Cricetulus griseus: one gene and its partners. The protein of the gene in region 1 interacts with the protein of each later gene in a pairwise test. Links are inferred from orthologs where the notes say so. Each region holds a gene or a part of one and is shown on either strand. Other genes may lie near its edges.

Evidence for each region.
Region 2: the proteins of Thap1 (region 1) and Trim26 interact in binary tests that used the Homo sapiens proteins (3 or more experiments, as listed by UniProt). The two-hybrid records come from large-scale screens. The link is inferred for Cricetulus griseus from reciprocal best matches to the Homo sapiens genes THAP1 and TRIM26.
Region 3: the proteins of Thap1 (region 1) and Zcchc10 interact in binary tests that used the Homo sapiens proteins (3 or more experiments, as listed by UniProt). The two-hybrid records come from large-scale screens. The link is inferred for Cricetulus griseus from reciprocal best matches to the Homo sapiens genes THAP1 and ZCCHC10.
Region 4: the proteins of Thap1 (region 1) and Fam133a interact in binary tests that used the Homo sapiens proteins (3 or more experiments, as listed by UniProt). The two-hybrid records come from large-scale screens. The link is inferred for Cricetulus griseus from reciprocal best matches to the Homo sapiens genes THAP1 and FAM133A.
Region 5: the proteins of Thap1 (region 1) and Ap2b1 interact in binary tests that used the Homo sapiens proteins (3 or more experiments, as listed by UniProt). The two-hybrid records come from large-scale screens. The link is inferred for Cricetulus griseus from reciprocal best matches to the Homo sapiens genes THAP1 and AP2B1.
Region 6: the proteins of Thap1 (region 1) and Gpatch2l interact in binary tests that used the Homo sapiens proteins (3 or more experiments, as listed by UniProt). The two-hybrid records come from large-scale screens. The link is inferred for Cricetulus griseus from reciprocal best matches to the Homo sapiens genes THAP1 and GPATCH2L.
Region 7: the proteins of Thap1 (region 1) and bystin interact in binary tests that used the Homo sapiens proteins (3 or more experiments, as listed by UniProt). The two-hybrid records come from large-scale screens. The link is inferred for Cricetulus griseus from reciprocal best matches to the Homo sapiens genes THAP1 and BYSL.

Annotation. Positions count from the first base shown.
Region 1 is NW_023276807.1:57,657,555-57,661,806, reverse strand, and holds the start of Thap1 (THAP domain-containing protein 1), read left to right. Parts: upstream 1-1,316; 5' UTR 1,317-1,383; coding exon 1,384-1,454; intron 1,455-1,633; exon of another isoform or gene 1,634-2,030; coding exon of another isoform or gene 2,031-2,035; intron 2,036-3,417; coding exon 3,418-3,613; intron 3,614-4,252. UniProt on the Homo sapiens protein: DNA-binding transcription regulator that regulates endothelial cell proliferation and G1/S cell-cycle progression.
Region 2 is NW_023276806.1:228,909,946-228,914,478, reverse strand, and holds the start of Trim26 (tripartite motif-containing protein 26), read left to right. Parts: upstream 1-1,588; 5' UTR 1,589-1,746; intron 1,747-1,976; 5' UTR 1,977-2,052; intron 2,053-4,272; exon of another isoform or gene 4,273-4,533.
Region 3 is NC_048600.1:67,476,790-67,481,050, forward strand, and holds the start of Zcchc10 (zinc finger CCHC domain-containing protein 10), read left to right. Parts: upstream 1-1,235; 5' UTR 1,236-1,351; coding exon 1,352-1,392; intron 1,393-4,116; coding exon 4,117-4,261.
Region 4 is NC_048604.1:52,767,082-52,771,309, reverse strand, and holds the start of Fam133a (protein FAM133A), read left to right. Parts: upstream 1-1,227; 5' UTR 1,228-1,346; intron 1,347-1,545; exon of another isoform or gene 1,546-1,637; intron 1,638-1,882; exon of another isoform or gene 1,883-2,019; intron 2,020-2,045; exon of another isoform or gene 2,046-2,172; intron 2,173-2,431; 5' UTR 2,432-2,482; intron 2,483-4,090; exon of another isoform or gene 4,091-4,198; intron 4,199-4,228. Other genes in the region: Nap1l3 (nucleosome assembly protein 1-like 3), read right to left, coding at 1-941.
Region 5 is NC_048600.1:96,571,427-96,575,177, forward strand, and holds part of Ap2b1 (AP-2 complex subunit beta), read left to right. Parts: coding exon 1-93; intron 94-850; coding exon 851-971; intron 972-1,091; coding exon 1,092-1,187; intron 1,188-3,751. UniProt on the Homo sapiens protein: Component of the adaptor protein complex 2 (AP-2). Adaptor protein complexes function in protein transport via transport vesicles in different membrane traffic pathways.
Region 6 is NC_048598.1:117,541,090-117,544,840, reverse strand, and holds part of Gpatch2l (G patch domain-containing protein 2-like), read left to right. Parts: intron 1-802; coding exon 803-870; intron 871-2,257; coding exon 2,258-2,297; intron 2,298-3,751.
Region 7 is NW_023276806.1:255,587,664-255,591,414, forward strand, and holds the end of bystin, read left to right. Parts: intron 1-104; coding exon 105-243; intron 244-509; coding exon 510-643; intron 644-1,869; coding exon 1,870-2,030; intron 2,031-2,158; coding exon 2,159-2,261; intron 2,262-2,753; coding exon 2,754-3,099; 3' UTR 3,100-3,426; downstream 3,427-3,751. UniProt on the Homo sapiens protein: Required for processing of 20S pre-rRNA precursor and biogenesis of 40S ribosomal subunits. May be required for trophinin-dependent regulation of cell adhesion during implantation of human embryos.

The DNA of each region.
Region 1 (4,252 bases):
CCATTCTTCTGGCCAGTAATTGATCTTGCAGGTCCAGTCTTTTTGTTATTAAGGGGAGTGTCCAGCTCGTTTTATCAGGCCTATTAGTAGCTAGCCATACAGCACCATCAATGAGTTACAAACTGGCCACCACCCTGTTAATTGCATCTTTCCTCTGAAATAACCACTCCTGACTATAGTTTCATTTACCCATTTCTGAAACATAAGGTTAGCACTACCAACTGAGCTACATGGCCAGCCTATAGCTTCATTATTTTGATTGCTACTGATTGTGGACTATGCCACATTTATTCATTGAACTGTTGATGGACATTTGTTTTATTTTCACCAACCTTTTCAGAATGATGGGACCTGGATGTGATGGTGCAGGTCTTTAACTGGGAGGCACTGGTGGATCATTTTTGAATTCAAGGCTAGCCTGATCTATATGACAAGTTCCAGATCATCCGGTTAGAATGTCATCTTTTTTTCTTAAAGGATTTATTTGTTATGTATATAATGTTCTGTCTGCATGTATGACTACATGCCAGAAGAGAGCACCGGTTCTCATTATAGATGGCTGTGAACCACCATGTGGTTGCTGGGAATTTGAACTCAGGACCTCTGGAAAAGCAGCCAATGCTCTTAACCTCTGAGCCATCTCATTACAGCAGCTCGCAATTTTCAGCACAGCGCCGGACACGGCACGACGGTAACAACATTCTTAAGTGCTTCTGCCTCTGAGAAGGAATGCACGTTTGTCCTTGTTCTCCATCAGAAGACGACCACCTGGAATCTGGGTTTGTGCAAATTACACCTCCGAAGCCGCCCCCCCCTTTTTAAAAAAAAAATTACGTGTTACTAGGAACTAGAGCTTTCCCACGTTTCCTTTAGGCTTCCGAATCCAACAGGCCATGTTTACCAAGCTGCAGCAGAAAGCGACGGGCAAATTAACCACAACGACCACTACAGCCCGGACTTCTCGAGTGTGGCTCCCAAACAAACGCCCTTTCTTCCGGCCCAAGCGCGGCGGACCCACCCACTTCCGCACTGGTGACCACGCCCCAGAGCCTCGCCTGGCCTCAGCCAATGGTCGGCTTCCTTGGGAACGTTACCTTCGGCTAATCAGAGACAACGAGCGAACTCCTCGCGAGAGGTGAGGTTGAAGCTGCCTCCGCCATCTTGAAGATGGGAGACGGGCGAAAGCTGTGGTCTTTCTGCTAAAGCAAACAACACAACGGACAGAGTTGTCACCCCCACAGTGAGGTAATCGCCACTGTGTAACTGCTGACCAAAGCCACCGAAAGCAGCGAGCGTGTCAAAGCCGCCCGAGCGCAGCGACACTGAGACCTCCCCCCCTTCACCTGCCTCCCGGGCAGAGGGGAAGTGTGGAGGGCCGGAAGGATGGTGCAGTCCTGTTCCGCCTACGGCTGCAAGAACCGATACGATAAGGACAAGCCTGTCTCTTTCCACAAGTAGGTAACCGGCATGCTCGGCGGTGGGCCGGCCGGCCGGCCGACTGGCCGGGGCGAGGGGCCCGCGGCCGGGTGGAGGCGGAGCCCGGCGCGTGTCCGCGCGAGACCTGGGAAGGCGGGGGGCCGGGGCCGGGGGCGGGGACCCGTGGCTGCGCGTCGCCCCCGTGGGCTCCGCTCGGCTCGGCTCGGCTCTGCTGAGGCTCCGAGCGCGCCTTCTCTGCTCTGCTGGGTTTCCGGCGTGCGAGTGACGCCTACAGGTCCCTCGCAGCCCTCACAATCTCGTCCCAAGGGATCATCAACGTGATAGAGAAACACTTAGGAGTTAGACAGTTTTCCGACCTTGCTGTAGTTGGGAGAAGGGATAACACAACCGGCCGGCATGTCAGGGAGGACTTGTAGACCCAGTTTCAAGGAACCAACCTTTAAGGGTCTTTGGGTTTCAGAGGAAGTTCTTGGTACTGCCAAGATGAACCCCAGCCTTTCATCACACAGTAATAGCAACGTGGACGATAACACGCTTTATTCAGTAGCAAAGGATCTAATTCCAGCCCTTGCCATCGATGTCTTGGCTGGCTCATGTGGTAGGTACCACAAACAAGAATCCTGGGGTGAAAAATACTTTCTTGAAAGAAGAAAACTGCAGAATTAACGTTACTAATGATAATTATTAACAGTGATAATGGTCCACAAAATGTGATGTTTTTAAGCAGCCAAATTCATTATTATATTTTACATTAGGTTTTTGAAAGAATTCCTGGCTGTATGCAAACGATAGCTAAGAGATCAGATTCACTGGTAAATTATACAAGTTATCCATAGCAAAACAATTACAGAAGCAAATTTCAAAATGTTCTTTCAGGGTTTTGTTTGTTTTGGTTTGTAACAAAAGAATGTTTGGTAGAAAGTGAGATAAGTGTGCTGATGTTTTCTGTCTGGGAAGAGGATAGAATATTTCCTAATACTACTACTTGATTGATTGGAATTTCTGAAATTTCATACATCTTCATCCTGTAGGAATAAATAGATCAGGAAATAGTGGGGGGATATACATTCAACTTGCCACCACCCTTCCCTATGCTTAAATTAGGGTGGCAAGTGGGGGAATGTTAAAATAAGTTTAAGATGACACACATCAAAAATACTATTTCAGCTGCTGGATGTTGAAAAATAAAAGGACTAACACGAATCTTATCCATTATTTAAAAGAACAATAAATGGCAAAAATCTTGACAGACCTCGAAGAATTTGGGCTCCTAGGCTGGGAGACTAGATACTAAGATTTCTAACAACTCCCCACTGGTATGTACTTCTTTCTAGAAATACGTCGTTTTCCAGCTTGTATCTACTGGTAGTGCAGAAAGCTTGCTGTGCAAAGAATAAGCACTAGCATGAAGATTGCTTAGGTCTTCATGAAAAAAAAAAAAAAAAAAAAAAAAAAAAGCATGATCGGGTCTGGTGCACCTTATGGGGTGGAATAATTATGAAGCATAAATTGAACATTCTTGGTCTTTTTCCAGTTCCAGTGTACCACCAAGTCTTTGACATGGAAAAGCATAGTGACAATAGATGTAAAGGGTCCTCATTACCTAGGCTGGGTTAAGTGATAAAATAAAAGATGTCCTTTATTTCTTAATCATTTGCCTATAATTCAGGCAGTCAGGATTTAGTCTATTTATATTTATTGGGCTGATTCAGGAAGAGCTAGAAGTCTATCTCAGGATACAGCCATATGTAGGATTTGTGTTTTACTGCAAAACACAAAAGTGCTAGTAAAAATGTGAGTAGAATTGCATTGCACACTGTCTGTTTTACTTGCATTGTCAGTGTCTTCGTTATGAAAAGATGAGCATTAATCAGTGAGATAGTAACAGGATCCAGTTTTCAGTCAGATTCTCTTGGCTGGGTGGTTTTGTTTATTTTTTTTTTCTTAGTAAAGTCAGAGAACTGAATTTTGTCTTCTTAGGTTTCCTCTGACTCGCCCCGGTCTTTGTAAACAGTGGGAGGCAGCTGTTAGAAGAAAAAACTTCAAGCCTACTAAATACAGCAGTATTTGTTCAGAGCACTTTACCCCAGACTGCTTTAAGAGAGAGTGCAACAACAAATTACTGAAGGAGAATGCTGTACCCACAATATTTCTTTGTATTGAGCCACATGACAAGGTACTTCGGGTTTTAAATATTGGGTTATTGTTTTTCTTTCCCTTTCTTATCCTCGTTTTCTTTTCTCCTCTCCATTCTCCTCCCCTCACGTCCCTTGTGTGAGGTAGGGGCTTACCTAGTCCAGGCTGCTTGAGCTTTATACAGCTGGGTCGGAATTGGAACTCCCCATCTTCCTTCCTCTGCCTTCCAAATTCTAGGATCTTGAGCACTGATTTTGGGCTGTACACTAATAACCATAAAATCTATGAAACTAATGTGTTCATGGTGGAAATTTTGGAAAAATCAGGAAAGGGTTAAGAAAACACATGTATTTGAAACATATCATTTTACAACAACCACTATTGGGACTCAGTGGTCAAGAGTGTGTCTTACTCTTCTAGAGGACCCTAGTTTAATTCCCAGCACCCACATCAAGTGGCTCACAATTTCTGGAACTCCAGCTCCAGGGGATCACATGTCTCTGGCCTCTTCTTGCAGCTCCACCTCCACCCCACAGCAAACACACACACACACACACACACACACACACACACACACACACACACACACACACACACACACACACACACGATTATAAAGAAAAAAAAACCACTAAGTAACAATAATATACTTTTAAAAAATTTAGAATTCTATGAATTT
Region 2 (4,533 bases), on another chromosome or scaffold:
TGGAGATTTCCGGTAGCGGGTGGGGGGGTGCCAGCCATACCCTGTAACAGGCAGGGACTGAAGGATGCTGGGAGAACCTGGCGGTCAGGTCTGCTTTGATATGTTAAATAAACCTCAAACATGTGTGCCAAGGTTTGAGCTTAACACATTGCAAACGTCGTTTCTTCGTACAACACCAATTTAAAAAAAATAAAAAGGCCAGGTGGCGGTGGTGCACGCCTTCAATCCTAGAGGCAGATGGATCTCCGAGTTCGAGGGCAGCCTGGTCTACGAGGGAGTTCCAGGACAAGCCAGAGCTACACAGTAAGACCCTGTCTCGAAAAACCCCAAACAAACAAAAACCCCACCAACTAAAAGAGCAGGTAGCAGCCAGGCGGTGGTAGCGCACACCTTTAGTCCCAGCACTCGGGAGGCAGAGGCAGGCGGATCTCTGTGAGTTCGAGACCAGCCTGGTCTACAGAGTGAGTTCTAGGACAGGCTCCAAAGCCACAGAGGAACCCTGTCTCGAAAAACCCAAAAAGGAAAAATAAAAAAAATAAAAAAATAAAAAAAGAGCAGGTAGCAAGTGATTTTAGGGTGTCCGGAGCAAGGCAGCCAGAGCCGCGCCCCACCCCCTCCAGGAGCGCACAGGAAACCTGAAACCTTCTTTCCCAACATCTTGCCCGCAGCGCGGGGAGGGGCGGGACGTTAAGGCTCAGGGCTCGGAGGAGGCCGTTTGCAGCTGAGACCACCTCTTTAGAAGCGAGGACCGGATGGGGGAACCCGGAGAGCCTTCGCTGCTTCTCGGGGCTGCTCGCCCATTTCCGGCGCAGCGGAAAGCCCTGCGCTGCTTGGGCCTGCAGCCCAGTAGGCGCGGCCGTGGAGCTGCAGGCTCGCCCGGCTCCTGCGGAGGGCCTAAGAACCGATTTTGCCGACTCTGTAGTTTGTCTCCTCTTTAGACAAATTCAAACTAGGTTGGTTTTGAACTTTCCTGCCTCCGTTCCCTAGTGCCGGGATCTTTCAACGTTTTGCGTTTATTTTAGTGTAGGGGGTAGGGTTGCACGCATTCCAGCGCACACATGTTGAAGTCAGAGGACAGCTTGGACGAGCCTGGTCTGGCGTTCCACCTTGTGGGGGTTATGGGATTCGAACTCCAGTCATCTGGCTCGGTGGCAAGCGCTTATCACTGTGTGTACATGCACGGCTATTTTCCGCAGCATCCTAGCTGGGAGCTTTGCAAATGGCAATTTCTGTAAATGGATCCTGGAAATACTAAATAGACTCATGTCTGGTCTTGTCCTGAGCAGACCATGCGGAGGAAACCCCATCGGAAACCCAGCCCCTGCAGACACCTCCGACCACACACCCCTAGGCCCAGGGAGTCAGAAACGGGGTCCCGAAAGTCGGGGAGCTCCTACACGCTAAACCACTAGGCCTCGCGCGACCTCAGCCGCTGGGCGACTACCGTGACGCACCGGCCACTTCCGATTTCACTTTCCTTTTCTCGGGCCCGGCCGCTTCACCTCCACGGCGGCGGCCTGGGGATTTGCCCGGTGATCAGTGACGTCAGGCAGACTGAAGTTCCCATTGGAGGGCGGAGTTCGGCATGGACCAATCCCAGGGCCGGCCCCGGAGAAATCTCGGCGGAGGGCACTGCGCGCCGGGAGACTGCTGGGCGGGGAGGCTTCGCTGCCAGCTTGCTGGCCCGGGCGCTGCACCCTGAGCAGCTTGACGGGGAGGAGTGACCGGGCCCCGAGAGTGGCGCGGGTGAGTGCGGCCTGCCGTGGTAGGACACCGTGGCTCCGCCGCGCGGCCCGGGTGGGGACGGCGAAGGTGGCCGTGGGCCCAAGGCAACGCTGCTGGACAGGCCCTGGCGCGCGGGGATGGCGAGCTCGGGTACCCGCCGCGTCCCCGGCTCGCTTGTGGGCCTGTCGCCCTGAGCTCGCTGTGCTCATGGCTCCTCAGGTCCAGCCCAGACTTACTCCAGTCTCTTCCAGTCCCCAGATCCAGAAGTGAGCGGGACCCGGATGAAGTCCTACCTGCTGGCTTGGAGTCCTGCATGACCAAAGGCAGGTCTCCACCTATTTATTTTATTATTTATTATCTATATCTATCTATCTATCTATCTATCTATCTATCTATCTATCTATCTGTCATCTGTCTATGGATTATTTACTATGTCAGAGTTAAACTAGCTTAGCCACTTGTACCTGGAGCTGTGTATTATTCCCTGATGATTTACTAACTAATTTGCTTTAGGGGGAAAAAAAAAGGTGTGTAAACAGTATGGTGATGGTATGCGCCTTTAATCCAGCACTGGTGAGGCCGAGGCAGAGGAAGATGGATCTCTGAGTTCAAGGCCAGCCTGGTCGACAGAGTGAGTTCCAGGATAGCCAGGCTACAAAGAGAAACCCTGTCTCGAGACCAAAAAACAAAAAGAAAGAAAGAAAAAAGAAAAAAAGAAAGAAAAGAAAAAGAATAAAAAGGTGTATGAATTTAACTTTGTGGAGTGAATGGGAGGAGACACTTAAAAATTTCTAGTACATTCCAGAGTTTGACAATGCAACCATTTGTGTATGCCTCAAAAAAAAGGGAAGAATGACATGTGTTCATGCATGCCTGAACCTCTTGTTTGTTAGATGAAGTCATGTCCCTAGAGTATTCCTCCTAAGTTCAAAACAAAACAAAACAAAACACCTTTTCTAAAAGCAAGCCTTCATTAATGTTTTTTTAAATTGCAACTTATTTATTAATTATTATTATCACTATTATCATTATTATTAAGACAGGGTTTTACCATGTATCCAAAGATGGTCTGAAAGTGGCCATGATCACCCATGTTAGCCTTCTTCCTCTTGAACATTTGGTTTAAAAGTTACAGGTGTCTGCTACAATGCCTGGTTACCATTTTTAATACACTTTAATTTTTAGAACAGTTGTAGATTCACAGAAACATTGAGAAAACAATCTGTAGAGTCCCTATGTAACCTCAAACCAACTCCTCTTTCATTAACATCTTACACATGATTATCGGCCAGAGTCCACATATGTTTATTTTCAATTCCTTTTTACGAAAATACCCTTCCATGTTCTCATCTGGGTTACTGCATTGCATTTGGTTGGCTGTGACAGTTTTTAGACTTTGTGTGAACTTTCAAAGTTTTGAGAGATACTGTGTAATGGATACCTCAGATAATTAATTAAAGAGAAGGGGTTTATTTTGGCTAACAGCTTTGGAGATTCCAGTCCACAATCCTGTGGTGCTTGTTGGTCTGGGCCTGGTCTCGAATTGAGCTCATATTCATACCTCTGCTTCCTGAGGACTGAGAATACAATCATGGGCTACCATGCCTGCTCATTATACACAGAGAGAGAGAGAGAGGAGAGAAGGGGGGAGGAGACCAGAGTCCCACAGTCCTCTTCTGTGATGCTCTCTTCAGTGCCCTAGATTTTCCAGTAGTACCAGTGCAAGGAACAAGCCTTTCTCTTGTGGACCTTTGAGGCATACTACGATGTAAACTGTACGTGTGTTTGTGTGGTACCCTCCTATTTTATGTCTTATTCTTAAGATTGGGTTTATGTATTAAAGGGATGGGGTTAGGTTGCCATACCCACAGCACCTTAGCAAGGATTCCATGTTGTCAAGATTTACGATGACACTGACCTGCCCACCTGGCTGAGTGTGTGTTGGTTCTCTGCACTGTGTTTTCCTTCCTTTGCACATTGAATCATTTGGCAGGAAGTCACTCTGCTCATCTAAAGAATTAGAGGGTTATGGATTTTAAATTATTCAGTATGGGAAATGTGTCCCCTTCGTTAATGCATTCACCCATTTGATTATATCAATGTAGACTTGTAGGTATTGATTTTAGACATTGGATTATAGTCCAGTAGCAGTTTGTTGTTCAAATTGGTGCAGCTTTGACTATTGGAAGCTGATTGCCTCTGTGTCCTTCCTCTTTTAATGGTACTTTTGGGGCATTCAGACATTTTTTTTATGTCACCTTTTAAACTTGAAACAAGCTGGTAAGCTTGACCAAATAATTTCTGTTGTTGTAGTTTTTTTCTTGCTGGATTCTGAAGCTGTCTCAGCCTCAAATAAGCACACAGATGCTATATTAATGATAAAACTGTTGGTAGATGGCTAGGGCTTCTTATTGGCTAGCTCTGTCTTAATTATTAGCCCATATCTATAAATCTATGTATTTCCACGTGGTCTTGGCTTACCAGAGAACGCCTGGTGCATCCTGTCTTCCTGGTCTCTACATGGCGTGTCTTTGTACACTCTCTCTGCCTTTCCTAGAATTCTCCTCATCTCCTAGCCTGCCTTTCATCCTGCCTCTACTGGTCAAACAGTGTTTTATTCATCAACCAGTAAAAGAAACATATATACAGAAGGACATCCCCCTTCAAATTTCCTCTCATCAAGAGACAAGGAAACCGGGTGCTGACGTGGCTCATAGCCATCTAACACCCTCCTCTGAACCCTGCAGGCACTGACAAAACACTTGTACACACAAAAGCAGTCTAAAAACTTAAAAAAGAAGAGGTAAG
Region 3 (4,261 bases), on another chromosome or scaffold:
AAAATAAAAAAAAAAAAAGAATCAAAAGACAAGATAGCCAAGTGTAGGAAGGTCTATTCCTTTTTGTTTCTTCAGCATATCAGCTTCCTTCTCTATTTCTGCAGACAAGCTCCCTTGCATTATTTATTATTCTCTATCTTTGTGTTGTTAATCCCACCATTCGAGAATAAGACCACTATTAGAGTTGTAAAAAAAAAAAGGCCAAAATAGCCATTTAAAAACCATGTTCTTTCCCTGGCCCTTTAATTCTATAGCCTGAGCTGACATTGAACTCCTAGAGATCTGCTATCCTCTGCCCAAGTGCTAGGATTAAAGGCTTGTGCCACCAGGGCATAATTTTGTTTGTTTTTGTAAGGAAAAAGGCCCAGCCAAACAAACACATCCTGAGCAGAGCCAAAGAAATACACTTTGGCCCTGCAACCAGAACCAAAGAAATGTACCCTGACCCTGAAACCAGTGCCAAAGAAACACACTTTGTCCCTGGAATCAGAACCAGTGAAAGAAATATACTCTGGCCCTAAAATTGGAGCCCAAAGGCTAAAAAGGACCAGTGAAAGAAACACACTTTGGCCCTGAAACCAGAGGCAAATCTGACCCTAAACCTTCGAGAAAACTAACCAATCCCTGAGCAGGAGATCTACCCATTATAAACCCAGGCATTGAAATCTGACCAATCTCCACCCTGGAAAAACTCTGCCCCTAAGAAGCCCTATATAAACCCTGTGCCTAGCCCGGCGTTGGTGGCACACGCCTTTAATCCCAGCACTGGGGGATATTTTGAGATAGGATTTCTTTGTGTAATAGCCCTGGCTGTCCTGAAACTCACTCTGTACACCAGGCTGGCCTTGAACGCGAGATCTGCCTGCTTCTGCCTCTGGAGTACTGGGATTAAAGGTGTGAGCCACTACTGCCCTGCTTTAATTTTTTTTTTTTCTGAGATAGGTTCGTATATAAGCTAGCCTCAACATTTTACAACTCACTGAGACCAGCCTGACTTTGCCTTCTGAGTGCTGAAATTAAAAGAGTGGTCAGCCAAGCCGGAATTTTGTTTTGAATCAGGGTCTTAACTGTTTTCAAGATTGGCCTTGAACACATAGCAACCCTCTTCCCTCGGTCTCGAGAACGCTGGGATTACAGGTTTTCTGAACGCTAATTTCACCCTTCAAGGTCCTAATCATATTCATACTAAACACAAGGCCCACATTTGACATAACACACCAGCGGGGGGCCACCAATCACCTCTGTTGGGATAAACCGGTCTGGCTCCGCCCACGGCCGTGGAGGTTTGAAGGCCCCGCCCCATCCTTCGGAGTTTCCCAAAAGCCTGTGCGGCAGGCTCGGCAGCTCCAAGATGGCGACTCCCATGCATCGGCTGATAGCTCGGAGACAAGCGTAAGTGAGACGACGCCCAGTGGGGTCTGCGAGAGGGCTGTGGGTGTGGAGACGCCAGTCCGCTAGTTAGTGAGCTGGCGCGGGCTGCGGGACTGAGCGGGCTCGGAGAGTCCGAAATGAATCCAAGGGTTGTTGGTTGTGTGGTTTATGATCCTCTGTCCGTCTCACACGTTTGTCAAGGTAGCCTGGATGCCTGATTCCCACACCTTCACTCCCGAGGACCCAAACTTCTCCCACTTATTCCTTTGCAGCATTTCCGGTCTCCTTCCTACCGCCTTTCCTAGAAACAAGCCTGTCTACAATGCCTTTACTCTTTTCCCATCTACCGACTCACTTTCTGCGACTCTCTCCTTCAGTAAATAGTTCTTTTAGTACCTACCACTCCATGCCTTTTTTTTTTTCAGTGAAGAAAAATGTTCGGGACACGCAGCTTATAGTCTAAATGTGGAACCAGTTAATCCTCTGAACAAGTACAGTTGGTAGTTTTAAAAATCTTTGTAGGAAATAAGAGGCTGTGATGGGAATACGGGAAAGGCTTCTTCAAATTAGTTGGACTGGAAATACATTAGTGGAGGGGTGACATTTCAAGACAGGCTGAAAGGCGTAGGAAAGACCGAGTCACCAGAGGGCTTGGGAAAAGAAACGCTAGACAATGGTATAATTGCTTTGAGGCGGTGAGAACTTTTTTTTTCTGTCAAAGCTAGCTAGCTGTTTAAGAATTAATAAATTTACACCTTTATTTAATCTCTCTCAATCTGGTAAGAATTTTGTTTAGGAAACTTGATGGCCTATAACAGGCGAACGCTTCCTTTAATTTCTTTTGCTCCCATTCTTTATTTTTGATTGGTGTTTCGAGACAGGGTCTTTTCACATAGCCCTGTCTGTTCTGAAATTTGCTTTGTGGCCAGGCTGTACTCTAACTCCGAGATCCACCTGCCTCTGCCTCCCACGCGCTGGGATTAAAGGTTTGAGCCACCATCCCTGGCCATAGCCCAGGACTTTAATCCCAGCACTTAGCCCAAGGTTAGCCTGATCTACATATCTAGTTCCAGGACATTCAGAGCTGCATACTGAGACCATGGCTCAATAAACAAATAAAATTTAAAAAACCTTAATTTTAACAGTGCTAAATTAAGTTACTAGGATCTCATTTCACCCCTTTTCTCTCTTAAACTGGTTCTTTTGGATCCAGACTTAGGCTACTTAAGTGACAAGATGGCTTGTTTTGTTTTGTCTTGTTTTTCGACACAGGGTTTCTTTGTAACAACCCTAGCTATCCTGGAATTCACTTTTGTAGAGCAGGCTGGCTTGGAACTCAGAAATCTACCTGTTTCTGTCTCCTGAGTACTGAGATTAAAGGCATGTGCCACCAAACTTGGCAAGACCTCATCTTAAAACAAAACCTCCCAGCAATGTTATGTTCACCCTCTGTATGGCCATGTGATAGTGGCATGTTGGATTTAAAGTTATGTGAAACTGAAAGGAAAATACTGTTTATGGATCTATTACCTGCTTGCTTTTAACTTTCTTGCTTTTGATGTAAGCTGTGATTTATTAGTCATAAACCTGAGTATTGGGCCAGATGTGTTAGATCATGCCTTTATTCCTAGCACTCAGAAGGCAGAAACAAGTGGATCTCTGAGTTTAAGGCTAGCCTGGTCTACAGAGTTTCAAGACAACTGGGGCTATTAACATATAGAAACCCTATTGTGTGACCGGGCGTTGGTGGAGCACCCCTTTAATCACAGCACTTGGGAGGCAGACGCAGGCGGATCTCTGTGAGTTCGAGGCCAGCCTGGTCTCCAGAGTGAGTGCCAGGATAGGCTGCAAAGCTACACAGAGAAACCCTGTCTCGAAAAACAAAAAAAAGAAAAAAAGAAAAGAAACCCTGTTCTGTGTGTTGGGGGTGGGGGGCGGTTTAAGTGTGTGTGTATAGGAATTGAGGCCAGAGGAACTTGTTGGGGTCAGTTCTCTGCTCCTTCCACCATACAGATCCAGGGATCCAACTCAGATCTTCAGGCATATAGGAAGCACCCTTACCCACCCAGCCATCTCCCATCCTTAAAAGTGTTTTAATGGGTTAGTGGTCTACCTTGGTGGTAGTATTTGCTCCGTGTGCATGTAGGAGGCCCTGAGTTTAATATCTATCTAGCACTACAAAGAATAAAGTAAAATAAAAGTCTGTAATTATCCTTTGCATTCTGAACTAAAAATGTTGCTCTGAGTGCATCATTACTGGAAAGCAAAAACAATATTTGTTTTTATGTGTTTGTTTTGCTTTGAGACAGGATCTCTCGATCTGTAGCTCAGGCTACAGCCATTCTCCTGCTTTAGCCTGAAAAGTGAAGGATTACAAGCATGAAACACCACACTGGGCTTAAAGAAGCCAAGATTTGTTCTGTTAATCCCAGGTTGCATGCATTGATCCACATAACTATTTCTGTGTCTGTTAGAGTAAACATCACTATATGCCTTTATAGGTCAGAAAGTATTACAAGACAAAGCTACTTTTTTGTTATTGTTTTTTGTTTGTTTGTTTTTTAAGACAGGATTTTGCTGTGGCTTTGGAGGCTGTCCTGGAACTAGCTCTTTAGACCAGGCTGATCTTGAACTCACAGAGATCCACTTGCCTCTGCCTCCCGAGTACTGGGATTAAAGGCATGTGCCACCAACGCCCAGAGAAGACAAAACTTCTAAGACTTATATTCTGTTTATTCTTTGTAGTGAAGCCAATAAGCAACATGTAAGATGTCAGAAATGCTTGGAATTTGGACATTGGACTTATGAGTGCAAAGGAAAAAGAAAGTACCTCCACAGGCCTTCAAGAACAGCAGAGCTGAAGAAAGCTTTAAAAGAAAAAGAAAATAGA
Region 4 (4,228 bases), on another chromosome or scaffold:
GCTTCCTTTGCTTCCATCTTTGGCTCAGGAATTTCTTCAGAGGCTTCCTGTGCCTCCATCTTCACCTCAGGAATTTCTTCAGAGGCTTCCTTTGCTTCAACCTTCACCTCAGGAATTTCTTCAGAGGCTTCCTTTGCTTCAACCTTCACCTCAGGAATTTCTGCAGAGGCTTCCTTTGCTTCAACTTTTTCTTCAGGAACCTCTTTTGGAATTTCTTTTTCTTCAGTTTTCACCTCAGGACTTTCTTTGGGAGCTTCACCTTCAAGTTTTGCGTCAGGAACTTCATTTGGAACATTCTTTCCTTCTTCCTTTACTCCAGCCTCTTCTTTACGGGCTTCTTCTTCCTCCTCACCCTCTAAGGGCGGCATTTCATCAGGTGTGTCATTCTGCATTTCCTCATCACCGCTGAACTCCTCCTCCGAGTTCCATTCACATTCTTCCTCCGTAGGCTCATATTCTGCATTTATGATCTGAAAACGCTTATCATAGAGAGGCTTATTCAGCTCCGCATATTTCCTTTCAAGGTCATGAATTGCCCTTAAGAACAAGGTGTCCACCTTGTCGCACTCATCCTGAATATTTCTGAGTGCCTGCACCCGATTTCTCACTGCCTGCGGTAGCTTATCCAGGAAAAACCTCCCGGCGGGATGCCGCGGGCCCCTTCTGACAGGCTGAGGCACCCTCTTCCTTCGGTACACTCGACTGCCACCGCTGCTGCTGCCACTGCTACTGCTGCTGCTGCTGCTACTGCTGCTGCTGCTGCTGCTGCTACTGCTGCTGCTGCTGCTGCTGCTGCTGCTGCTGCTGCTGCGACTAGAGGTGCTGCTAGAGCTATTGCTGTCAGATTCTTCCCCGGAATCACTAGCTGAGCTAGCCATGACCTCTTCAGCAACCCCTTGGGCGGCAGGTTCTGTGACCATTTTAGGATCGGCGTCTGCCATGCCGCAAGCCCCCGCACACCTCTTTTCTGCAAGTGGTGACAACAGAGATCGCGCCCCCGGGGACCGGCAGCAAATGACTCACGGATGCTCTGAAGGCGGCTGCGAAGGCCCGGGCTGCACAGGCGGCGGCGGCGGTGGCGGCGGTGGTGGTCGGTGGTGGCGGCGGCGGTGGCGGCAGGGACTGTCAGCAGCAGGGACTGCAGTGGCTACTGCGGCGGAGGTGCGGCAGGGGCGGGGCCAGGGAGGGCGCGCAGGAAGCCGCGGCAGCGGAAACAGGCCGGGGCCTAGGCGACCAGGCCTGGTCGGGGGCCTTGTCTCGGCCTAGACAGGCAGAGGCCGAGCCGTGCCGCAGTCGAATGGCGCAGTTCGGGACTCTGATCGGCGATTGGGGTCTGGCTGAGGATGGTGAGCCCCTCCCCTTGATGACGCCCCTCGCGTCAATTTCGTTCCCAGAGTGCCTCTAGTTCACGCCTCATTTGCTGGCCAGCCCCGATTGACGGGCGTTCCAGCCAAGGAACGGTCGGAAGTAGCGGCTCCCCCTCTTGGCTCCTCCTCCCTTCCCAGATGCTCCTTGGTGGCTGAGGCACCAACCCCCCCTCCATCCCCCGAAAGACAGGTTCCCTCCCCCTCCCAAAATTCTCTCCTTATGTGGTTTTTTAATTCACAGGGAGAGAAAAAAAAATGCGTAGCCATGAGGTAAAAACGCCAGCTATAGTTCCTAGCAATGGAACAGAGGATCCCTTTAGCTCAGCTGCCCATCCTGAATCCCCCATTTGGCTGAATTCCACACCACAAACTGTTAACCGGGGGTGGGGGGTGAAAACGCTCTGAGTGGCGTCATTGGATAGTGTGACTGGATGATTGAAGGGGGGGGCACTCAAACAAACATGATTTTCTCTAAATATTCCATGAGCATGTATTTTCACACTGGAAAAGGGGGAGTCGTTTATTGGCAAAGGGGGGAGGGGCTAGACAGCAGGCATATTGCATTCCACGTAGCAGATTTAATAAGTCCTGTCTGTGATGTTTGGCAAGCCTGGTTTATAGCCATCTACAAGGTTTGCGAACCCATGTTGCCGTGAGTCAGTTACACCATTTTTTCAGTCGTATTTCTGTTTTAAATTTGGCATATAATGTAATGTACTCTAATCTTATTGCTAATTTGCCACGTAGTCCTTTTCAATGCTTGTAGCAAAATTTTAGACAAAACGAAGCGGTTTTCAAATGTAAGGTAATATTTTTTTAAAGCAGAGGATTTGTTTCGCACTTTCATGCAGCAGGTTTCAATTCCACTAACAGCGGGATGGGAGGGGGGATTTGTTCTAAGGCAAGTGCAGCATCCGTAAGTGTTTAAGATGTCATCTGCCACCAATTTCCTTTTAATTTGAAATTGTATCCATATTAAATGCTGATTTATAAGCCCAGTAATATGTAAACAAACTTTAGCTAAATGAAGTTTAAAAACAGATATTTGCTATTTTTATTTACAGGATTCAGTTCTGCTACAACCAAAAAGACCAGTGTTTACTTTTCATTGAAAGGTAAGGACATACTTACTAGCCGTCCCCCCCCCTTTTTTTATGAATGACCAGAATTGCTCATCTGTACTTAAATAAAAATTCACAGGCTATAATCTGTTAAAGATTTGATTGGAAAATATCGTGATATTTGCAGACAAGCAGAAAAATCCATAGAGGTGACTTGGCATACAAATGAGAAAATAACCCACTTTACCACATTCACTGTCTAAACTTGGTCATAGACTATTAGTGCTATGTTAAAATATAAAATATACTCCATTATTAATTTCAAATGAAGAAATGTATTAAAAGGAGACTAGCCTTTGTATAGTACTTGATTTTATTATAGAGTTTGTGCTTTTTATTCAGTCATACAGTTTTAAGTTAAGAAATGCATTGTGATTTTGAAAATGAATTTGTATTTATGTGTAAATATTAAATTTTGTGTACATTTTAAAGATTAACTTCAATATAAAAGATTATGATGATAGTCAATGTTTAATTTTGACAACCAAATGATAACTAGTTTTTACATTTGGATGCATTTCCTTCCAGAAGTTTCCTTATGCTTGTATACATCTGCTTCTGTTTTATCTGTGTGACATCATATGATGGTTTATAATTTACTGATTTATGGTTGTTTTCATGGGAAATAATCAATTCCTTTTTTAAATAGTTCTCTATTCTGTTATAATAATTGCCTTGGCATATTTAACCAGAGTCTTGCTATGGGAAGATATACATACATTTACATATACATATATACTATAACTGGCCTACTAATGCACTTCAAAACATAGGATATTTTCCTAGAAATTAGAGCATGAACTAAGCCTTATGGTATTTTGTAATTCTGTACCTATTACAAATGTCCATGAAGGTTCTTATAATTTAAAATGTAGAAAAGTCCATCTATTCCAACATTCAACCAATAATGCCTGTGTCTTTTATGTGACAGGCACATTAGTGATGGATGACAATATAATGCTAAGTAGAACATGCTTACCTTTGCCTTATTGTTTTGTAATTTTAATCAAAACACATGCAATGGGCTGCATGATAAATACTGCAATGCCACTTATCTATAGCTACAGTAATAGAAATATTTTAGTGATACTTATATTTTATAGTAATTTAATAGTGTAATTTACATGTTAACTTCTGTATCATCAGAGATTACTATTTTTGAATCAGTTTTGAGTTAAGTTCTAGATTTGCTTGTTTACTTTCTTGAAGTGGGTGTGGAATCAAGGAATCACACATGTAAGGGAGCTTTATCACTGAGCTATACCTATAACCATAGAGATTTTAAATTGTTATTTTAGTAGCTACCTATTTCTTTGTGAAACATTTAGTTTGTAATCTCTCCATCTGTACCCACTGAATCCCCTTATTTACCATGTAAGCAGAATTGATTGGATCTATTTCTACATTCTGGTTTGTTTGTTTGTTTTTTGATTTATTGAACACAGATTTTCCTGCAAATAAGGGAATGGAGCTAATTTTTGTTGATGTTTTTAGAGACAGTCACACTATGAGTCCCAGGGTTGCCTCCATACTTTCTGTGTATCCCAGATTTGCTTCAATATTAAGAGACTCTTCTTTTATTTTTTTTTTTTTTTGAGACAGGTTTCACTGTAGGTTTTGGATACTGTCCTGAAACTGTCTTTGAAGACCAGGCTGGCCTCAAACTCACAGAGATCCCCTGCCTCTGCCTCCCGAGTGCTAGGATTAAAGGTGAGCGCCACCACCGCCAAGCTAGAAACT
Region 5 (3,751 bases), on another chromosome or scaffold:
GAAGCTAGCGCCTCCACTTGTCACTCTGCTGTCTGGGGAGCCAGAAGTGCAGTATGTTGCCCTGAGAAACATCAACCTAATTGTCCAGAAAAGGTGAGGAAATAGTGACTTTAAAATGTTTGTGATCTTGAATTAAGCTTAATATAAATAAATGCTCCATAGACTGATGCTAATCTCTTATTCTTCACCGTGTGGAAGTGAAAATGTTGTATAGTAGCACAACTTGTTCAGAAATAGCAACTTATAGTTATTACCATTCTTTCAGTAGTTGAATATATGTATCTGGTGTTGCAGTTCAGGGTGGTTTCGTTTTTATTTTTATTTTTGAAACAGGCTCTTTGTATATCAGGCTGGCCTCGAACTTACAGCGGTTCACCTGCCTCTGCCTCCCAAATGCTGGGAGTAAAGGAGGGTGCCAGGCGTGTGTGCCACCACTCCCATCCATGTTGCTTCTTTTGGACATGCTACCCATGGAAGAGTTTAGTTGAAAACCAGGTTGTTCTTCCTTAGCAATTCTCTGGGGTAACACATACCCCTTTTCCTTTGAGAGGACACAAATCAGTTGTCAGAAGGAACTGATGGAGAACAGATGGGCTGGGAGTGTAGCTTTGTGGGAGAATACTTGCCTAGCATGTGCCGGGCACAGAGCTTGATTGTGTGCAAGCAAACATGTTATATAGTAGCACTGCTACTATGTGGGGGCTGAGGGAGGGGTAGGCAAAATAGATGCTTATACAGGACCCTTGGGAGGGTTTTCTCCCCCCTGAAATGGGCAGGCAGAAAGGCTGAGTGGGATATGTCAGTAACTGCTTTCTGTCATCTTTCTTTCTTGTGTTTTTGTGTATCACAGGCCTGAGATCCTGAAGCAGGAAATCAAAGTCTTCTTTGTAAAGTACAATGACCCTATCTATGTTAAACTGGAGAAGCTGGACATCATGATCCGTCTTGCATCCCAAGCCAACATCGCTCAGGTCCGACCCTCAGCCATCCCAAATTTATACCGGCTTAGCACTTAAGAGCTGGCATTCAGAAGGCATGAAATTGCTGTTTGAGACTTTTTAAAGATTATCCACTTCTTGGTTATTTGACAGGTCCTGGCAGAGTTGAAGGAATACGCCACCGAGGTTGACGTGGACTTTGTTCGCAAAGCTGTGAGGGCCATTGGACGGTGTGCCATCAAAGTGGAGGTAAGTCTCCAGAGGAGCTGAGATCACAGTATGGGATTCTGATTGCTCATTACTTTAGAATATGTTTTGGAGTTCATCAAAATAATACATATATTTAATGAACTAAATAATTTAATGTTTATGGGTGTTTTGTCTGCATTATGTCTGTGTACCCCCTGTAAGCTAAGTACCTCTGTAAGCCAGAAGAAGGTGTCGGACCCCCTGGAACTAGAGTTACAGACTGTTGGTCATGAGCCAACATGTGGGTGCTGGGAATCTAATCCAGGTTTTCTGGAAGAGTAGCCATTTTTGCTCTTAACCCTGAGTCTTCTCTGCCCCAGATTAAAGAATTTTTAATGAAAAGCCACTGTCCCTGGCTGTCCCCCTTCTCTACCTAGACCCACTTCCCCAAAAGTATCACTTTTTACTCTTCTTTAAATCTTTTTCTATGTCCATATTTATAAATAATTTTATTATTTATTGATTTGTTAGTTACAGATTTTTGTCTTCTCAACACATCTCACTCCTCCACCAAGCATTTTGGGGGGCTTGTTTGTTTTACTTTTTCAGACAGGGTCTTACTGTTAGCCCAGGCTAGCCCCAAACTCACATCCCCTCTCCCGCAATCTCCCAAATGTAGGATTCCAGACATGAACCACTATGCCTGGTTTTAGTTTTGTGTTCTTTCGGTAATATGTGTTCTTAGGTGTTGTATTTTGTTTTGGTTTTTAACTTATTTTGATACTACCTATTTGTTTTTATTATTTTATTTTATTTGTTTTGGTTTTTTGAGACATGGTTTCTCTGTATTGCTTTGGAGCCTGTCCTGGAACTCACTCTGTAGATCAGGCTGGGTTTGAACTCACAGAGATCTGCCTGCCTCTGCCTCCCAAGTGCTGGGATTAAAGGCGTGTGTCACCAATGCCTGGCTCCTATTTATTTTTACATTTATATATTTATTATTTGAGGGGACAGTATGTGCCAGGGTATATATATGGAAGTCAGAGGACTTACAGGAGTTGGTTCCTTCTTTCTGCCATAAGGCTTCTGGGGATCAAACTCAGGTCAGCAGTGCCTTTATCCATCTTGCTGGCCCTAATACCACATATTGATTGCTTATTAGACTTACAGACTTTCCCAGAGACTGGACTGTATCTTAATGGTTCTACTCATACCTCCATCCCCTTTAGATGACTAAATCTGGAGGCTTGGTGATATTCATGAGTTTTAGGTGATTTTATCCTTTTAGTGACCTGTGATAGTACATTGTGATAAATCATAGATTTACCTTGGATTTGGGTATTTTACTTACAATCCTGTCCTTAAAAAATTTTTATGGAAGTATAAATAAATTGATCAGTTTGGAGCCGGGCATTGGTGGCGCACGCCTTTAATCCCAGCACTCGGGAGGCAGAGGCAGGTGGGTCTCTGTGAGTTCGAGACAAGCCTGGTCTACAACAGCTAGTTCCAGGACAGCCTCCAAAGTCACAGAGAAACCCTGTCTCGAAAAACAAAAAACAAAAAAACAAAACAACAACAACAAAAAATTGATCAGTTTGTATTTCATCTTCAACTAGTAAAAGAGTAATAGGTTAAACTCTAGGATATTTTGAGCCATAGATAACTGAAAAGAAAATGAAAGCTATGGACCTTATATTTGTAAAATATTTTGAAAGTCCATATAAAATTTGGTGATTCCTTTTAGGAGGTTTAAAAACAGGAGGTCAGAGAGATGGCACAGTGGTTAAGAGTGTTTGCTGATCTGTCATGAGAGCCAGAGTTCAGATTCCATGACCCACCTCAGGCAGCTCACAGGCTCCTGTAACTCCAGCTTCCAGGGCTCTTCATGAGCACCTAGCATGTGTGCTCAGGCCTGGGGGACAGGGGGCGATCCTGCCCTGTTGCTGCCATCTAAGGTAGCTTTATAACTAAAGGTAGCTTTAACTAAATCTCTATGGTTCTAATAAAACTCAAAGGCTAAGGGTGAAAACCTGTGAGCTCAGAGAGTTAGAGTAGCAACTGCTAACTTTCTCTTTGCTGGTGTCCCCAGAAGCCTCCCTTCTTCCACACCACTTGCACTAAAAAAAACCCACGCCGTGCTCCTCCCTGTTACTTCCAGTAAACTTGTTGCTAACCTCACCTCCCTGAGCCCAGGTTAATTTTATTTAATTAATGTATCTTTACATAGTTAAACAAATACAGCATTAACAGATGTAATACATCTTTGCCTGGCTAAACAAATATTCCACAACACACAAACACACGGGGGTGTGGGGGGTGGGGAAGTGGGGAGGGGCTAAAGAAAGACCACGGAAGAAATCTTTTTAAAAATACCAACAACACCCCATGCAATCTCTGTTCACCTAAGGACCTCCCACTTAGATGTATTTTTTAATTGCCTTTCTCTCTTCATACCCTGGCTAATTTTTTTCTTATTTCTGTTCTTCGAATTATCCAGGTTAATGTTTACTCATTTAACTTAATTATCTGGGAGACAGAGATACAGCTCAGTGGTAGAGCTCTTGACTAGCTTGTGTGAGGCCCTTAGTTTGCTCTAAGCAACACACACAAAACCAAATCCAGAA
Region 6 (3,751 bases), on another chromosome or scaffold:
GGGCTGGAGAGATGGCTCAGAGGTTGAGAGCACTGACTGCTCTTCCAAGGGTTCTGAGTTCAATTCCTGGCAACCACATGGTGGCTCACAACCATCCGTTATGAGATATGGTGTCCTCTTCTGGTGTGCAGATATACATGGAAGCAGAATGTTGTATACATAATAAATAAATAAAATCTTTAAAAAGAAAAAGAAACAGTATTTGGTATTAGTTTTATATTTCACTTATGTGTCAATTAAAAAATAAACAGAGCTGGAGTTTATTGCTCAAGTTGGCAAAGTGCTTGTGGAGGACTTGAGATTGTTCCCCAGAACAATATGGGAGAAACACCTCGGGTGCAATGGCATGCTTGTAATTCCAGCGCTGGGGAGGAGGAAGATAGCTAAGCTCAGGCCAGGAGAGACTCTGTCTCAAAAAATGTGGACAGTGCCTGAAGAATGACACCTGAGATAGTCTTCTGGCTTCTACTCATGCACACACTTATGAGTGCCCACACACGTGTACCTGCGCACACACACTTATACAAAACTAAATTTAGAATAGAAAAATATCCCAAGCCCAACAAACAGTATTTATAACGGCTTTTTAAAAGCCTTTTAAGTCAGCAGAGAATAGCTAGGTAATAGATGATACTTCTAAGATGTACTCCTATTAAAAAAAAAATAGTTGCTGTTGGATTTTAAGATTGATACAACCTTAAGATTGCTTGGTATGGTTAGAGAAAAATTTAGCTTGGTAACAGCTTAAATTGTATATATTTGCTTCTGTGGTTTGATGACACTCTTTTTCTTATCTTTTTAGGAAACCAGCATAAGCAGTCTAGGAACCGAGAGGATAAGCCATATCATCAGTGACCCCCGGCAGAAAGAGTAAGTACCTAAGTGCCTACTGCTGTCCTAGCCTGGTCCTTGGAGAAGGAGGTAGAGAGGGTTTCTATAAAGCAATCTTTCTATTAGACTTGAGAACCGAAAGAGGGCATTTTAGAGATTGGTGCTTGCTAACAGTTAAGATGGGTAAAATCAGGCTGGCAAGATGGCTCATGGCTAAAAGTGCTTGCCACCTGTTGTTGCATGTTTGATGACCAGAGTTTAATCCCAGAGCCAGAAGGAAAGAACCAACTCCATAGAGTTGTCCTCTGACCCTCACAAGTATGCTATGACATACACAATAATAAAAAAGTAAAATTTTAAGATGGCTAAAGTCTTAAATCATGACAGTGATTTTTCTTTTTCTTTCTAGAGTAGTTTTTTGTTGTTGTTGTTGCCTGTTATGTTTCTAGGTGTTATATTAATATCCACCACTAAGAGACTATATTTTAAATGCATTTTTCTCTCTTAATTTTTTTAAAATGGTTGTTCCAAATGCTTCTGTTCTCCTTCAGGCCTCTTTAAGGAGAAATCTTTTTGTCCCTGTTACCATGGTGAATGCAGTAGGAATCATGAATGGAGCTGCCTTTCTCATAACAGCTTCATTTCCTAAACAGTTGGCTTTGCTGTGTGCTTTGTCTTCTTATGGGTCTTCCATGGCTAAAATTTGAATATCTGCTGAATAAATACATATATATTGGGACTAGGGAGATGGTTCAGTGGATCAAGCATAAGGATTAGAGTTTGGATCCCCAGCACCCACATAAAGAAGCAGGTGGTATGGTAGGCCTGCCTGTAATATCAGCCCTTGACAAGTAGATCCCAGGGCAAGCTGACCAGCAGGGAGCTCTAGGTTCAGTGAGAGACCTTGCCTCAATAAATGAAGTGGAGAGTGAGCTTGGAAGACATCACAATGACCTCTGACCTCCACACACGTGTGTACCTGTGACCTTACATTCCTCCATTCACACACATACATGCATACATATCAACTATGTATGTTAAAAAAAAAAAAGCAGCCCACATTTGTATATGCTAAAGAAATTGTATAGTTTATTCCTTAATCATTATGGTCAGTACCCAAGAGCAGTCCTATACATAAACCTAGTCTGATTTTGGAGTTTGAGTCCTTTTCTCGATGCACAGCTGAGATAAGGCTGTGTCTTAGTTGGCTCTTCCTTGTCTAGTTTTCTGCTTTCCACTTTTGCCTTCTCCACTGCAGTTACTTCAGGGAGACTGTTGTTCACACACAGCTGGCGTCCTTCTCCTTCAGCTGCATCGCTCCCAGTTCCTTCTTTGTCTTCACTCAGTATCCCACCTGTGATCGTCTTCCCTCTTACTTTTCCTATCACTTCTTTTATTGTTTTCTTTCCTGTTATTCTCTCTTCAGTTTCTGCTTACCATCAGCTGGGAAAAGAGAACGAAAGCAGGTAAGATAATTTTGGGGGGTCATCTTTTATCATTCAGTTTCCTTTTCTTTAGAAAGAATAAAACATTGGCTTCTGATTTTCCTCACATTTTTGCTTGTGCACATGAGGTGACTAAGATCACTCTCCATCACTCTTGACTTTTTTGAGAGCTGAGTTCCAAGACTGCTCTGTGCTCATCTGAAAGAACTGTAGCCAATTCCCTCCTTAGGTTCAGCTGCAGTTGTCAGCTTCTTATTTGTAACACATTTCAAGGGAAGCCTGGTTTTATTTTAGCTTTTCCCCCCTAAGGTTTATTTTTACTTATGTGTCCATGTACATAGGTGCATGTGAGCTCAGATGCCTGCAGAGGCCATAGGGTATCATATGTGCTGGAGCTGGGGATACAGACATTTGGGAGCTGCCTGACATGCTGATGAGAACTGAACTTGAGTCGTCTGGAAGAGCAGTATTTGCTCTTAACCATTGAACCCATTGTCTTATTGTTTCAATTGATTAAAAATGTAAAGTGAGTCTCATGTCTCTGGGTTAGTTTGCCATTCGAATCCTGTGCTGTGACTGTCTGAGCATAGGAGGCAGAAGGCTGAGCTCCTTTTGGGGAAATGATCAAGACTTTGGAGCTTTTTTCTCTTAATCTTTTCCTTGACTCCCCTTTAGGGATGCCTTAATACATTTTGGCTTTGAGGAGGATCCATGATTTAAAAGTAACTCACAGTGGTTGTTGTTAGGTTTATAGATGTTTGAAATTCTTTCAGTTTAGAGGTAAGGGTTGCCTAACCTTAGTTCTGAGCTGTGAAGTTCATAGAGACTGATGGGCAAACCTTCTCAGGCTTCCTTTTGCTCCATGGTTGACTGGTTGTTTATTTTGGGGACTACTTAGCATTTTATTATGTTACACAGTTTATATTTGCAAAGTTCACTGGGAAGTTGCTGTTTCACAATAATTAGAACAGTGGAAGATAAAACCAGTGTGTGTTTATGAGATGATTTTAGATTACGTATTTGAAGTTATATATTATAATGTATGTTAGAAAAATGTAATTACTATGTCAGACTTACCTGGTGGAAATAGGACAAAACTGAGTGTAAGTAATTGGTGTAAAGAAAATTCTGGATGAACAGTTCATATAGTTGGCAGATAAAGAAAGGGTCATGAAGGTCGCATGCGAGAGATTTGGGAACTGTTAAGCTAGAGTGTGGATTGTATTTGCTTCAGAGCATGCAAAGGCAGGATTTATGGCCATCTTTTGCGCTACTTCTGCTATGTACAAGTGAGGAACAACGCATCATGGGTTTTAACTATTTTCCTGAAGTTGCTGAGCTATGTGTATTAGCTAAGTTTCTGTTCTTTTAAGTACGTTTGAAGTTACCACTCAAGTTCTTTCAGTCTTAATTCATAAAGTTAACCATTTTTCAAAGGACTGTTTATTGTGGGAAAGTACAAAGAAGGCTAGCAA
Region 7 (3,751 bases), on another chromosome or scaffold:
TCTTCTGTCTGTCCTTCCTTCCTTTCATGAACAGGGTGAGGGGACTTTAGAGCTTCCTGGAGAGTGACCCTAGTTCTTCACCCTTGTCCCCTCTGTCTCCATAGGCGCACACTGGCTGACATCATCATGGAGAAGCTGACAGAGAAGCAGACAGAGGTGGAGACGGTCATGTCAGAGGTGTCGGGCTTCCCTATGCCTCAACTGGACCCCCGGGTCCTGGAGGTCTACAGAGGAGTCCGGGAGGTAAGGACTGTGAGGGCATGTGTGGTGGGGTATCCTAACAGGAAGCCTCTCACACATGGCACCCGACGAGTGAGCCATGGTGGCCAGGACAGAAAAGGACTGAGGCAGAACCAGTGGGCTCAGGGTCTAGTCACTAAATTCTGGTCACCTGAGAAATGAGCCTTTTTGGGTTGCTCTGAAGATAAGTGAGGCCGCGCATGAAAACGCAGGGACGGGGCCAGGACCTCAACCGTGGGTGCTGATGGCTCTGCCTCCTCCATCTCCAGGTGTTATCCAAGTACCGAAGTGGGAAACTGCCCAAGGCTTTTAAGATCATCCCTGCACTGTCCAACTGGGAGCAAATCCTCTATGTCACTGAGCCTGAGGCCTGGACTGCAGCTGCTATGTATCAAGCCACCAGGTAGTGTAGATGGTCTAGGGCGGCTGATCTGTGGTGCAGGGTGTGGTGAGTAGACTCTGCCTCCCTCAGCCATGTCATTGGCCAGCCCATGGCTCTCTCCCTTGGACTTGTTCCTACTACTCCCTTAACTTCTCCTCCTGTGTTTTCAGGACAAAGTCCTGTGGTAGACTTCCATGGGAAGGGCCTACATAGCTTCCAGGATACAGCCCTGGTGTGAGAGAAGAGTAGCTCGAGAATTCTGAGAATTCTCCGGTGACCTCAGGTCCCTCATGGTGGAGAAAGGAGAGTAGCCAGCCAAAAACTGGACTGGGAAAGAAGCTCGAGGTGCCTCGCTTAAATAATGCACAAAAGGCCATGGGGCTAAGCAACAGCACTGTCTGAAATACACTAGGGGCCAGGCAATGGTGGTGCACACTTTGAATCCCAGTACTCAGGAGGCAGAGGCAGGTGGATTTCTGTGAGTTCTAGGCCAGCCTGCTCTGCACAGTGAGTTCCAGTAGAGTCAGGACTACACACAGAGAAACCCTATCTCGAAAAACCAACAAAAGAAAAATGCTAGGTCTGGAGAGGTGGCTCAGTGGTTAAGAGCACTTGTTCTTCTAGAAGACCTGGGTTCAATTCCCAGCACCCACGTGGAGGCTTTCAACCATCTCTAGCTCTAGGAAATCCGATGGGTACCAGGAACATATATGGTGCACAGACCTACTTGCAGGCAAAGTAGCTCCTCTTTAAGCTGACCTGGGTGTGGTGTGCATACTGTTATTCTTTTGTTTAAATTAGAAATGAAGAAGAGGCACAAGATGAGACATGAGACTAAGATGTATTACCCAGTTTATTATAAGCCCGGTAGAGTAGAGACTAAGAAAGAAGAGGAACGGGGTTAATGGCTGACCGCCATGACCGGTTGCCATAGAGAGGCAGAGAGAGCAGAAGAGAAGAGAAGAGAGTGTAAGTGGGCAGGGTCTGTCTTTTAAAGGGTTCCTCTATACCACCTGCGTGCAGACTTAGTTCCCATGGAACCCTGGGCTTACCAGGGTACTGCCTGAGTGGATTCTGCCAGGTGACAGAGGCAGGCCAGCATAATGCCTGAACCTTTCACATACCACTTCACATACCCCTCTCTGAAGTGATGTCCCCATATCTTACTCTAAAACCTCTCTCATGCATGGTGATACTTAAAAGGCCAGGGCCAGACTCTTGTGACTTGCAAACTCCCACCTTGCTAGGATTTTTGCCTCTAATCTGAGAGAACGGATGGCTCAGCGCTTCTACAACCTTGTCCTGCTTCCCCGAGTACGAGATGACATCGCAGAGTACAAACGACTCAACTTTCACCTCTACATGGCACTCAAGAAAGCCCTCTTCAAACCTGGAGCCTGGTTCAAAGGTAAAAACCCAGAATTAGGAGAGAAAGGAAGGGTCAGTACTCTGCTTGGCAACTGGCTATCTCCACTGTTGGTCCTTAGATGATGGGGTTGCTGGGTACTAAAAGTCCCTGTATATGACTCTGCCTAGGAATCCTGATCCCATTGTGCGAGTCTGGCACATGTACCCTCCGAGAAGCCATCATCGTGGGCAGCATCATCACCAAGTGCTCCATCCCTGTGTTGCACTCCAGGTAGTGTTGGTGAGGTCGGTGGAGAGTCATGTAGTAGAGAGGCCAGAACTTTGGCAGGAGGGCAAGAAGGGAGAATGAGCTATGATTACCTAGAGTCTGTGGCTATTTAAACCAGCAGGTATATGATTTCCTCCAGTAGAATAGAAGCCTTCGAGGGCAGGATCCAAAGACCTGGCACACAGTAGGTGTTCAGTAAATAGTTGTTGAATGACGGCATGAATGAATGGATACCTAGAAAAAGGTGTGAAAAATGGTGGAGTGGTGAGACATTTAGACACACCCTATCGAGTTGAATGCAGGGATTGTTTGCTATCCCGGCCAGAGGCAGAAGTGTGAGATGGATGTAGACAGGCGGTAAAGAGAATCAATCCCAGGAGTGTACTAATGAGGAGATGCGGGGACACCTTGGGAATGCTCTAGGTTAGGGTGAGTCTGGGGAGACACTTTGTCCAGAATCTCTCCACTAGTCCTTAACTCCAGCTTCCCTCCTAGTGCGGCCATGCTGAAGATTGCCGAGATGGAATACAGTGGCGCTAACAGCATTTTCCTGCGCCTGCTGTTAGATAAGAAGTATGCGTTGCCATACCGGGTGCTAGACGCCCTGGTCTTCCATTTTCTGGGCTTCCGGACGGAGAAGCGCCAGCTGCCTGTGCTCTGGCACCAGTGCCTCCTGACATTGGCACAACGCTACAAGGCCGACTTGGCCACGGACCAGAAGGAGGCCCTCCTGGAACTGCTTCGACTGCAGCCCCACCCACAGTTGTCTCCGGAAATCAGACGTGAGCTCCAGAGTGCAGTCCCCAGAGATGTAGAAGATGTTCCTGTCACCATGGAATGACAGCGCTCACCTGTCTTGGTCCAGGGAGGATAGGAGGACACCAGGAGCCCAGTTGGTGACCAACGATCTAGTTAAAGACCTAGGTTAAGGCACCGAAGGCTTACGACAGCATCTGTGTGTGGCTCTAGTCCTGGGCAGGAGGATTGATCTGGTTGGCTTTCTCTGCCATTCTAGGCTTTGGTCCCTGTTCACTTCTGGAAGCTAACTGGAGTTACCTGATGTCAGCACTCCCTCAACCCAGCCGGTACTTGGTATTAGGGCTGCTCTCTCCAGTTACTGTGTCAGTTCACTGGGGTGTGGATAAAACAGAGTTGGTTATTTATTGAAGCTCTGTGTTTTGGTTCAGTCCCTGGAGGTTCCTGCCTCCCCTGTGGCTAGAGGTGAGAGTCATTCATGGTTCTTTCTGTTCCCAGTTCAGAGGAGTGGCTTCTTAGTGTCCATAGAACCCTCACCCTGTTCCTCACAACGGTCTATCTAGACTCCCCTTCCTCTCCACAAAGAGAGTGTGTGTATTGCACGCATGCAGGCAATACACACACTCCCTACCAAAGACATGTTCATGGGCTATTTTGGGGGAACACCAGCTTCTGCTGGTGTTCTGCTGGAAAGGTCGTAGTCGCCTCATTGCTCTCAGTGGAGACTGCTGTAGGAG